3 linked regions of the Arabidopsis thaliana genome follow. The protein of the gene in region 1 purifies or fractionates together with the protein of each later gene. This does not show direct contact. Each region holds a gene or a part of one and is shown in the gene's direction. Other genes may lie near its edges.

What was found.
Region 2: the proteins of AT3G25880 (region 1) and UBA1 fractionate together in Arabidopsis thaliana (co-fractionation; one large-scale study listed by BioGRID). This does not show direct contact.
Region 3: the proteins of AT3G25880 (region 1) and UBA 2 fractionate together in Arabidopsis thaliana (co-fractionation; one large-scale study listed by BioGRID). This does not show direct contact.

Annotation. Positions count from the first base shown.
Region 1 is NC_003074.8:9,468,482-9,471,835, reverse strand, and holds AT3G25880 (NAD(P)-binding Rossmann-fold superfamily protein), read left to right. Parts: upstream 1-1,802; coding exon 1,803-1,849; intron 1,850-1,960; coding exon 1,961-2,116; coding exon of another isoform or gene 2,117-2,123; exon of another isoform or gene 2,124-2,222; coding exon 2,223-2,244; 3' UTR 2,245-2,731; downstream 2,732-3,354. Other genes in the region: NIMIN-2 (NIM1-interacting 2), read left to right, coding at 947-1,315.
Region 2 is NC_003071.7:12,855,698-12,859,454, reverse strand, and holds the start of UBA1 (ubiquitin-activating enzyme 1), read left to right. Parts: upstream 1-1,727; 5' UTR 1,728-1,944; intron 1,945-2,069; 5' UTR 2,070-2,085; coding exon 2,086-2,416; intron 2,417-2,778; coding exon 2,779-2,996; intron 2,997-3,293; coding exon 3,294-3,757. UniProt on the Arabidopsis thaliana protein: Activates ubiquitin by first adenylating its C-terminal glycine residue with ATP, and thereafter linking this residue to the side chain of a cysteine residue in E1, yielding a ubiquitin-E1 thioester and free AMP.
Region 3 is NC_003076.8:1,968,189-1,971,945, forward strand, and holds the start of UBA 2 (ubiquitin activating enzyme 2), read left to right. Parts: upstream 1-1,771; 5' UTR 1,772-1,890; intron 1,891-2,041; 5' UTR 2,042-2,050; coding exon 2,051-2,372; intron 2,373-2,713; coding exon 2,714-2,931; intron 2,932-3,124; coding exon 3,125-3,757. Other genes in the region: AT5G06450 (Polynucleotidyl transferase, ribonuclease H-like superfamily protein), read right to left, coding at 1-301. UniProt on the Arabidopsis thaliana protein: Activates ubiquitin by first adenylating its C-terminal glycine residue with ATP, and thereafter linking this residue to the side chain of a cysteine residue in E1, yielding a ubiquitin-E1 thioester and free AMP.

The DNA of each region.
Region 1 (3,354 bases):
AGCACGAAATATTTATAAAAAGCATGCAATTCTCTTATAGATCGCGAAGTTTAAAAAAACATATAGAATTGTTACAATATTACATGGGTTTTTATTGGATAACATGACAAATATTTATTTATTTCATGAGTTTTTATTGGATAGCATGACAAATATTAATATATCAGTGTTAATAACATGTTTTGTTCTTAAAATACATGCATTTTAAAATCAGACATTTGTTTTAAAATCAAATCTAATCTCTTATATCACAACGACATTGACGGAAAATTCAGGTAAAAAGAGAAAATAAAGAATGAGAGATAGAGAGATTTCTATGGAAAAAGAAAGAGAGAACATGTAGGTGAACAAAATAAAGAGATATGATGATATATTTTATGAGAGGTGGTGAAGATTATTTTAGGAGAGGGAGAGAGAAATAGAAAAAGAAAATGACATGGTGAATCTGAAGAAGATGAATTGTGTTAAAGATGAAGAGAGAAAGAGAACTCCATGGCTAAAGTCTCGTAAAGAAGATGAAAAAGAAACAAAAGAAGGAAGAAGAAAGAGAAAGGCTAAAATAGACTAACTATTGCCAAAATTTCTGTAGCCGACAAATACTATTTGGTCCAAGGTTATTTTGTGTATTCTTTTGAAGTCAAAAGTTATTTCTTACATATACTCTAAAAATATAGCCGATACCAATTTTTCCACACATGGACTTCCTTTATTCCAAAAGTCAATAAAGTGTGACGTCATGATACTTACGCTTTAAAACATCGCATGATGATGTCATTAGCATCAATCTCCACCGTCCAATTTATTTAGTTGTTGACAATATCGACCGTCTAAGTTCCACACCGACGGCTATAAGAGTTTCATTATAAATTTTAGCAAAATAAAATCAGCAAATAATTTTTTCTTGACTAAGCTTAAACGACGCCGTTAACATTTTCTTCTGGCTAACATGAACAACTCTTTGAAGAAAGAAGAACGCGTAGAAGAAGATAACGGAAAATCTGACGGTAACAGAGGGAAACCGTCGACGGAAGTTGTTCGGACGGTAACGGAGGAAGAGGTGGATGAGTTTTTCAAGATATTACGGAGAGTACACGTGGCGACACGAACGGTTGCGAAAGTTAACGGCGGTGTTGCTGAGGGAGAGTTACCGTCTAAGAAGAGGAAACGGAGTCAGAATCTTGGGTTGAGAAACTCGTTGGATTGTAACGGCGTTCGAGACGGAGAATTCGATGAGATTAATCGGGTCGGGTTACAGGGTTTGGGTTTGGATCTGAACTGTAAACCGGAACCAGACAGCGTTAGTTTATCGTTGTAGACTTGTAGTCCTTCATGTTTTTCCCCTTCTTACAATAATCAATTTTTTTTTAACTACAATACTTTTGAAAAAAATGGTAAAAGAAGATTATTAACATGTTATCCAAATTTCAGATTCTTCAGTTTTATTTTATACGTCAAAAGAGAAGTTATATATTTGCAAAACTACAAGTCAAACAAAAGCTATTTAAGCGTTTGACGTTCCTAAACAACATAAATTTTACTAAAATCAATGTTTTAAAAAAGTGTTGATGGTAAAGATATCAATTGGGCCTTTGCCTGGCCCGTTTAGTAATATTGCAGAGTAGGTATGGGCCTGTATAAGGGAGTCCAAAAAAAGAGCGGGCATTGCGGGTTGGGTGCGTTTGGAACTTTGGATTGTGGATTAGTCATGGTTTATCTATTAATGTCTGCGGACTTGTGGACGACGCGCTTGTTCTTCTTCCTCTGTTTACGACTTACGAACATATGATCTCTCATCTCTAACAATGATGGAACCTAAAGCCAAGTACGATCGTCAACTCATGTATACTATGTTAGTCTCTTCGAACTCTACATTTGTATTATTCTATCGATCTTCGAACGAATCTTGTTGGGAGGAAATTTTATGAAGTAATCGTTGATTGATTAGGATTTTGAGGTGAAGTCAAGGGACTTTGGAAGAAGCGAGTATCTGTTTACTCAATTGTGGTCCTATTGGTTCCAATGCCTTGAAGAATCTCGTCCTTGGTGGTGTTGGTAGTATCACCATCGTTGAAGGATCCAAGGTTCTAATTGGAGACATTTGGAAACAATTTCATAGGTACTAAGTAATGACTAGTTTTTGATTTTTTTTGTTGCTATTTTTAGATGCTATTTGTGTAGTTAAATAGTTATGACATCTCTTTTTCGTCGTTGTTTGGTTATAGCTGGTGGAAGATTCAATGGTGAACCTAGATATTAACGATGGAGTAGACTGAACAGTTTGTGTTTGGTGATAACACAGAATTACAAAACTTGTGGAATAACCATTTATTACGGTCAAAGTCTCTTGTCTTCAAAGGCATGCAATAGAACAGAAGTTCTCCATAAGCGAAGGTTTCAGAGACGAGAACAACACTGTGTTTCAGAGACGAGAACAACACAGTGTGTTTCAGAGACAACTAGAACAGAACAGGATTGCGGGCCAGACCGTTAGACCAATGGACATTGCGAGGCGAATATGGGCTTCGATTGGTCGCATGTGGTCGTTGGCGGACCGGACCACCACTTATGGAAAAGAAGCACGGGCCATCACGGACCCCCCATTTGGTCGCGTGCTCGCCCGTCTGACATCCCTAGTTGATCGTCATCTAGATTTTAGACGTTTATGTGATATCTAAATAACCGTTTTGGCTGTCTAAAATTCCATAAGTTTTATTTTAGTTTATTTTTTAGTTTTCAACTATATAAATTTAAATTATAAGTTTTAGCTTTGTATATATTGTTTGTTTCCAACTATATAAATTTAAATTATAAGTTTTAGCTTTGTATATATTGTTTGTTTCCAACTATATCAATTTAAATTATAAGTTTTAGCTTTGTATATATTGTTTGCTATGAATTATAAATGGTTTTATCTAAGTTTTGTTTATAATTTCATATTTTTATTTTTCTAAGAGATAGTTTTCTATGAATTTTATTTATAATATAATATTTATAATATGTTATGTTGTAAATGTGTAGCCGCTTAAAATCTCCTAAATCATGATTAGACGTTCTAGGCGTAGATCACCACCTCTTAAGTAGCTAGTTAGATTTAGCAGATTATCCAGTTATCATGCAGATTAATTGTATTAGATAGATTTTGGTAAGATAGGTGAATTTAGCCTAATGCTTTTAAATTTATGTATTTTAAAATTAGTGAATACTGAATACTCATATTTCTTGCTTATGTATTTTGATTAATTTAAAATATACAATTTATTTCTATTAACTTGTTTTTATTATGTTATATTAATACAGAAATATATTTTATTTTTATTTGAAAACTATTTAAACCTCTAAAAAATCGTCTATCCA
Region 2 (3,757 bases), on another chromosome or scaffold:
GTTCGTACTCTCCTCTTACGAGTTACAAGATTGAAGAGGTTTCCATCCTATAAAGACGATCAAGAATATATAATAAGAAATGCTTACTTTAATCAAGTCAATCTTCTCTTGATGTATCACAGGTCTTCACCTACCTTTTCGTAGTCACGAAGCCATTTTTCTTCTTCCTTAGCTTGCTTCCAGGTTTCAACTGCATCTATTATGCCTTTCCTTCTTAAAGCTTCAGATTTTGCTTCCTCATATTAGCATCCAATGCAGCACCAATATCAGATAGAGCACGATCACCTGACAAGATAACTTATCTTTTAAGCATATCTAAATTGCTGTTTTTTTCTTACAAATAGAAGAGTTCTTCACTTACCCTCATTATCAGTTAGCTCAATACTGCCTGTCGAGCTCGACAAAATGCCTTTAACTCGTATTGCTTCTGAAGTACATTCACCTTCAGGGTTTCCCCAGTTTTAGTTTTCTTTGCCACTTTGTCAGCCTTGTCTTTATTAGCAATCCTCTTCGTTTTGGGAGCACCAGTGGATTCCTTTCTTTTACCAGCATCATTAGTACTCGTCTTGGGAAGATATTTTGCACAACTCCATTTTTGTTTTTTCTTAGGGTGATGAATGACTTGGCCTGAGGTGAGAAATTGAGAGTGTAGAGACTTTTGCCTTTGTAGTTATACTCTGCCAAACTCCATCCTTTTAGCCAATCATCCACAAACTCTATGGGTAAATCATCATGATACCTTAAGTAAGCTAGTTTAGAAGAAGTGCTCACAACTTCTTGACCCATTTGAAACTGATGAACATAGTAATTGACACTGCCCCACTTTATAAGAGCACCATTGCAATTAAAATATCCAAGATGAACATTTTTAGTTGGATAAAAGAAGACCCACGACTTGTTGCTTTCTCCCTCTAGAAATTGAAAGTTGATGAAATCTCACTCCCATGGACTGCGATCAAATATTTCAAGATCGTCTATCCATGGAATTGCAACATCAACTCCAAAATCTACACTTTTAACCAAACTAATCATAAGTTAAATTTCAATTTACAATCGTTTATTAATATAGTGATTAAGTAAGTTATCAAGTATTAATTTATAGAGTTTTATTTTTGTATAAACTAACCACGAGTTAAGGAGGTGTTATTGGTTTATGATTTCAAAAGAGTTTTAGTGACTTAAAGTATCATGTAGAATCTGTTGTTATTTAATCAAAAAAATTTAAAAGTATGTTAAAAGTTTGTGTTATTCATTAAAGATTTGTAAAAAGTAATCTAAAAATCTTCATAAATTTTAGATTATTGAATTCATACTTTTATAAAGTCAGTAAATTTTTTGTGTTATTCTATTAAAACAAAAAAATCTCTGATTGTTTATGATTTAAATTATTATGTTATTGGTTCATGACTTTCTACATTTTCTTTCACAAAATAAAGTCATAGAAAGTCATGAATTTTTTTTCAAAAGATTGTTTTGAGAAACTTTAGAAGAAAATGTATTTAATTATAATATTCATAGCTGGAAATTGATCTAATATTTAATTATAATATTAAAGTTTCCAGTTATCCAAAAGAAGATGTGAGTTTTTTTGAACTTGGTAATTAAAAAAAGAAAGCAATATTTCAGATTTAATACAGATTCATAAGAAGGATCCATAAGAAATTAACTAAACCGGATCTGGTCTTGAAATAGTGACGGACGCGTGTCCCCCGGTCAGAGAGTTGCCGTCACAATCACGCGGAGAAAGAGCGACAAATCAAACCTTAACCGTTAAAACGTCATCGTTTCATATCCCCCCACAACCGAACCCCTTTCGTTCGCCCGTCTCTCTTAAATAAATCTTAGAGATTTCTGCAAAATTCGTCACTTCAATTTCAATTTTCAGATCTCAAAAACTTTTTCTCTTTTCCGATTCCAATCTTCTCTCGTCTGCTTTCCTCAAAGGTACGTTTTATCTTCCTTCTCATAGCTTCCGAAGAATCAATCTAGGGTTAGGTATTTCAATTCTGATCGGATTTTCTCTCTTCAGTGTTCTCTAATCTAATGGGAATTTCACATGTTTTCTCCAGGTTTTTTCATCACTTTATGCTTCACAAGCGAGCTAGTGAAGCTAACGATAAGAACGATAATACCATCATCGGTTCCGATTTAGCATCATCTAAGAAACGCCGTATCGATTTCACTGAATCTTCGTCTGATAAGTCTTCTTCGATTTTAGCTTCTGGTAGTAGCAGGGGTTTTCACGGCGATAGCGTCGTTCAGCAAATCGACATGGCTTTTGGTAATTCGAACCGTCAGGAGATTGATGAAGATCTGCACAGTCGCCAGCTCGCCGTCTATGGTCGTGAGACTATGAGGCGTCTCTTTGCTTCCAATGTTCTCATCTCGGGGATGCACGGTCTTGGTGCCGAGATTGGTATGTACTTCATTGGTTTTATGTTGAGATTGTGGTCTCCCTCGTCTCTTTGGTTTTTGAAACTTGTAGAAACACTGTTTTCGTATGCGTCGTTATTAGAAGCTGTGAATAATTGTGTCATCTTCAAAGATTTTACTCTTTAGTTGTTTTGTTTTGGTTCTCCTGATCTGTGATTGCTGGTATTCTTCAACATCCAAATCTTAGTAGCTTCCTGATGTTCCTTAGTTGTTCGATATCTTTGTTATTGGGGTTTCGTTATATGCCAGTTTTCTAAGATGCATGGTAAATGTGAACTGTTAATGATACTTTTTAGTCGATTGCTTTCTCATTCAGTTTTTGTTTTATTTGTTGATTTTCTTCAGCCAAGAATCTTATACTTGCTGGTGTGAAGTCTGTGACCTTGCATGATGAAAGAGTTGTAGAGCTATGGGACTTATCAAGCAACTTTGTTTTCTCGGAGGATGATGTTGGCAAGAATAGAGCAGATGCTTCTGTTCAGAAGTTACAGGATCTTAACAATGCTGTGGTTGTCTCTAGCTTGACCAAAAGCTTAAACAAAGAGGATCTTTCTGGCTTCCAGGTTTGTAGACAACTCATTTGTCTTGTTATTGGTTCTATATGGTCTGAGTCTTTTGTGTACTGTATCGTTCTGTAGATTACTTGTGAGTTTATGATAACACTGTAACTGAATGAGTAACATAAGAGTGGGTTGTTCTATTTTCGTTGCATATAAGAGATGGGTTTTGTCTCATTTAGTGTTAGGCTATTTCTAGTGTTTATTGATATTGATATGGAAGATTGGTGTACACTTTTCTCATTGGTGTGTGTTTCTTGTTGGCGGGTTTTACGCTGATACATCTACTTTTGTGCCAAACAGGTTGTTGTATTCTCTGACATAAGCATGGAAAGAGCAATCGAATTTGATGACTATTGTCACAGCCATCAGCCTCCTATCGCTTTTGTCAAGGCTGATGTCAGGGGTCTTTTCGGCTCTGTCTTTTGTGATTTTGGGCCTGAATTTGCGGTTCTTGATGTTGATGGAGAGGAACCCCATACAGGCATCATTGCGTCTATCTCTAATGAGAACCAGGCATTTATTTCCTGTGTCGACGATGAGAGGCTTGAGTTTGAAGATGGTGACCTAGTTGTTTTCTCAGAAGTTGAGGGTATGACAGAATTGAATGATGGGAAACCAAGGAAGATAAAAAGTACACGGCCATATTCATTCACCCTTGATGAGGACACTACTAACTATGGAACATATGTGAAGGGTGGTATTGTCACTCAAGTGAAACAGCCAAAGTTACTGAATTTCAAGCCATTGAGGGAAGCGCTTAAGGA
Region 3 (3,757 bases), on another chromosome or scaffold:
ACAGATCCTTGAGATTGTCATGAAAAGGTTTAGGAAGTCGAAGGAAGAGACATAAGTTTCTAGTGCTCAGCTTCACCGATGACAGACTCCACCCTGACGTTTTGGTTTTGGTTTCAGTTTCAGGAAACCCCACATCCCAGTACACATCGAAGATCACCGCTCGGTTTCCATTCAAGATAGAATCTTCTCTTATAAGTGAAAGGTATGGAGAGATATCTGTTGATGATCCAACATCAATGGTCTTAGTCTGAACATAGGAGCCATCAGTCATCTTGAACTTTGGCCCATCAAAGGAGGCCATGTGATGAAAAAACACTAAAGAATATTCACAAATCAAATTAGATTCAACGATAACTGACAAAGTTGTAGCTAAACTTATCTCAATACTAATAGAAGTGGAAAGTAAGATAGTGAATCCAATCATCACTCATATAACTTGAGCACCAATAAGGTTTCCTCTTTTTTATAAAAAACTACAAGTATTCATGAGTTGGAAACTTGGAGAAATTGGGTGAAGAAAGGACCACACATTGAATAAACAATGATCTAGCATCGAATTGATCAAAGTAGAGGTAAACAAACTTTTTTTTTAGTTTTGGCTACAAATACCATTGATCACTCCCCCTAGTTCTAGGTTTCATGACCTTTCTGTGCATCAAAAGATAACAAGAAAGAAGCGAAACTTTTTGTTCTATATCTCTTAGACTAATTAACTAATGGAGAAACAAAAACATTTGATTCTATCTTAGTTCTTGTAACCCAAAACGATCGATCCGAGAGATAAAATCCCCTAACTATCATCTGAAATTGGAATCATACTAGTCAAATTCAACTTAAAAGAGACATTAACTGATGAGAAGTTAAGAGGAGGACGAACCTTGAAATTTCGCGTCCGGTTAGGGATCGTAGTAAGCGAGGAACAGTTCTTCTGGTTTCTGCTGGAAGAGAGAAGACTAAATCCCCGCGAGGGAAGAAGAAATCACGAAATGGAGACACATTTCCTCAGCTTGCTTAACCAACCATACGTTAGTAATTTAAGCTGACCAATCCGGTTCAACCGAAATTCTATGTCTTTTGAATGTTTTTCTTGACTTTTTTTTTTAAGGGGTCCTTGTCAATCTTTGTTACCAACGCCAATTCACACAAGAAATATAATGTGAGACATTTTTCATCGTTATCATACAACCGTGAATATACTTGTCAAGCAATGTTGGTCAAATTCTCAAGATACAAGAGTTTTTTTTCACGCTAATGTAGTCACACTACAAATCCATTAATATTATTTTTTTCGTTTAGAAATCACACATAAAACATAGATTGTGTTTGTTGGTATAAGTGATAGAGAGAGCATCCCCATATCATTTTCCAAACACAAATGCTCACACCAAAATGGTTGAGTTCATAAGGTACATTTCCACACATTATGCTTAAGTTTCACTCTTATTACACTTCTTTGAAATGTCTATTAATCTTTAGGAATTAGCAAGTACGACACACATTCAAATATCCAACAACTACTCTCTCTTTATCAATCAACAAATAAAAAACAAAACTTGATTGATTAACAATTTCAAAGTTTAAATTCAATCACACCTAACCTGAATTAAAATTTGGTCTATTGCATACTCAAATCCGGTTCAATGTTACAAGACCAAAACCAGATATTTATCTTAAACTGGTCCACTTGAAAAAACGAAAAAACTTACCACACAACACAGGCTGATTCTGAATTCAGCACAAATAGTTTCAAAGCCCAACAATCATCGCCCAATTTTTGTTATATACCGCCGCTTCTTTCTACACAACCTACAAAGCCAAAAGCTTAGTATACTCTCTCTTTCTACTTTAACAACAAATTCGCCGCTTATCGCCTCCGATCTTCTCTCAAAGGTACGGTTTCGTTTTCATTTCCTCCGATTCTCGTTTCTTCTTCAGATTCCTTCATCGATTAGCTCTAGGAACCTTCTCATCGGAATTCATTTATTGTCTTTGTTTGTTATTCGAAGCTTCTTCTGTTTATTTGATACATATTCTCTTTCAGTTACTCTATATGGAACCATTCGTTGTTAAGGAGAACATCATCGCATCTGCTTCTTCGCCGATGAAGAAGCGACGGATCGATCACACTGAGTCAGCTGATGGTTCTGCGATTAACGCTTCTAACTCCAGTAGCATCGGTTTGAACAACAGCATCGGTGGTAACGATACGGTGATGAGCATGGCGGAGTTTGGTAACGACAACTCCAACAATCAGGAGATCGATGAAGATCTTCATAGCAGACAGCTCGCCGTTTACGGCCGTGAGACTATGAGGAAGCTTTTCGCTTCCAACGTTCTCATCTCTGGGATGCAGGGCCTTGGTGTTGAGATTGGTAACGATTTTTGTACTTTTCGTTGTTAATTTCTGCTTGCATGTTATTCCTGTGCTTGTCCTGCTGGTTGTTAAAGAGCTTCAAGCTTGAGCAAACGTATTTCGTGATTAAGCTGTTTTGATGTTGTGTGTACATTTGGGCACTTGAAGTTGAGATTGTAAAATTGGTATATTAACTTGTTAATCCTGATTTTCTAATGAGTTAGTGACACATTATATAATGGAAGGATTATTCAATATTCACTATAGATTTGTAATGAACTAATGACTGGTATAGCTCTTTATTCTCTTCGTTATTTCCTTCTTTCTGATGGATGATTTTTTTTTTTTTTTCTTATTTAGCCAAGAATATTATTCTAGCTGGTGTGAAGTCAGTGACCCTTCACGATGAAAATGTGGTTGAGCTATGGGACCTATCTAGTAACTTTGTTTTCACGGAGGAGGACATTGGTAAGAATAGAGCACTTGCTTCTGTTCACAAGTTGCAAGAACTCAACAATGCTGTGGCTGTCTCAACTTTGACTGGGAAGTTAACCAAAGAGCAGCTTTCTGATTTCCAGGTATCCAAACCCTTCCTTTATTTGGTTTGTCTTTGCTTCCTTGTTCTAGTTGTTAATAATACTATCATGATTCATGGACATAATTATCTGTAAAAGAGATTAGAGGTGACTGAACGTGGATGAAAACGTTTCTACTAAAAGTACAGAATGTTTGGCTTTAGTGGTTGATTTCTTTTTTTTTTCCTTGATGCAGGTTGTGGTATTTGTGGATATCTCTTTTGAGAAAGCGACAGAGATTGATGATTATTGTCACAGTCATCAGCCTCCTATTGCATTCATCAAGGCTGATGTTAGGGGGCTGTTTGGGTCTTTGTTTTGTGATTTTGGACCTCATTTTACTGTTCTTGATGTTGATGGGGAGGAACCTCACTCTGGCATCATCGCTTCTGTTAGCAATGAAAATCCTGGATTTGTTTCGTGTGTCGATGATGAGAGGCTCGAGTTTGAAGATGGAAATTTGGTTGTTTTCTCTGAAGTTGAGGGAATGACAGAGCTAAATGATGGAAAACCAAGGAAGATAAAAAATGTCAAGCCATTTTCATTTACCCTGGAGGAAGACACCTCTAGCTATGGGCAATATATGAAGGGTGGCATTGTGACTCAGGTTAAACAACCAAAGGTGTTGAACTTTAAACCTCTTAGAGAAGCACTTAAAGATCCAGGCGACTTTCTTCTAAGTGACTTTTCAAAGTTTGACCGACCACCTCTTCTCCACTTAGCATTCCAAGCACTTGATAGGTTTTCGTCTCAAGCAGGCCGATTTCCGTTTGCTGGTTCAGAAGAAGATGCTCAGAAACTAGTGGAAATTGCAGTTGACATTAATGAG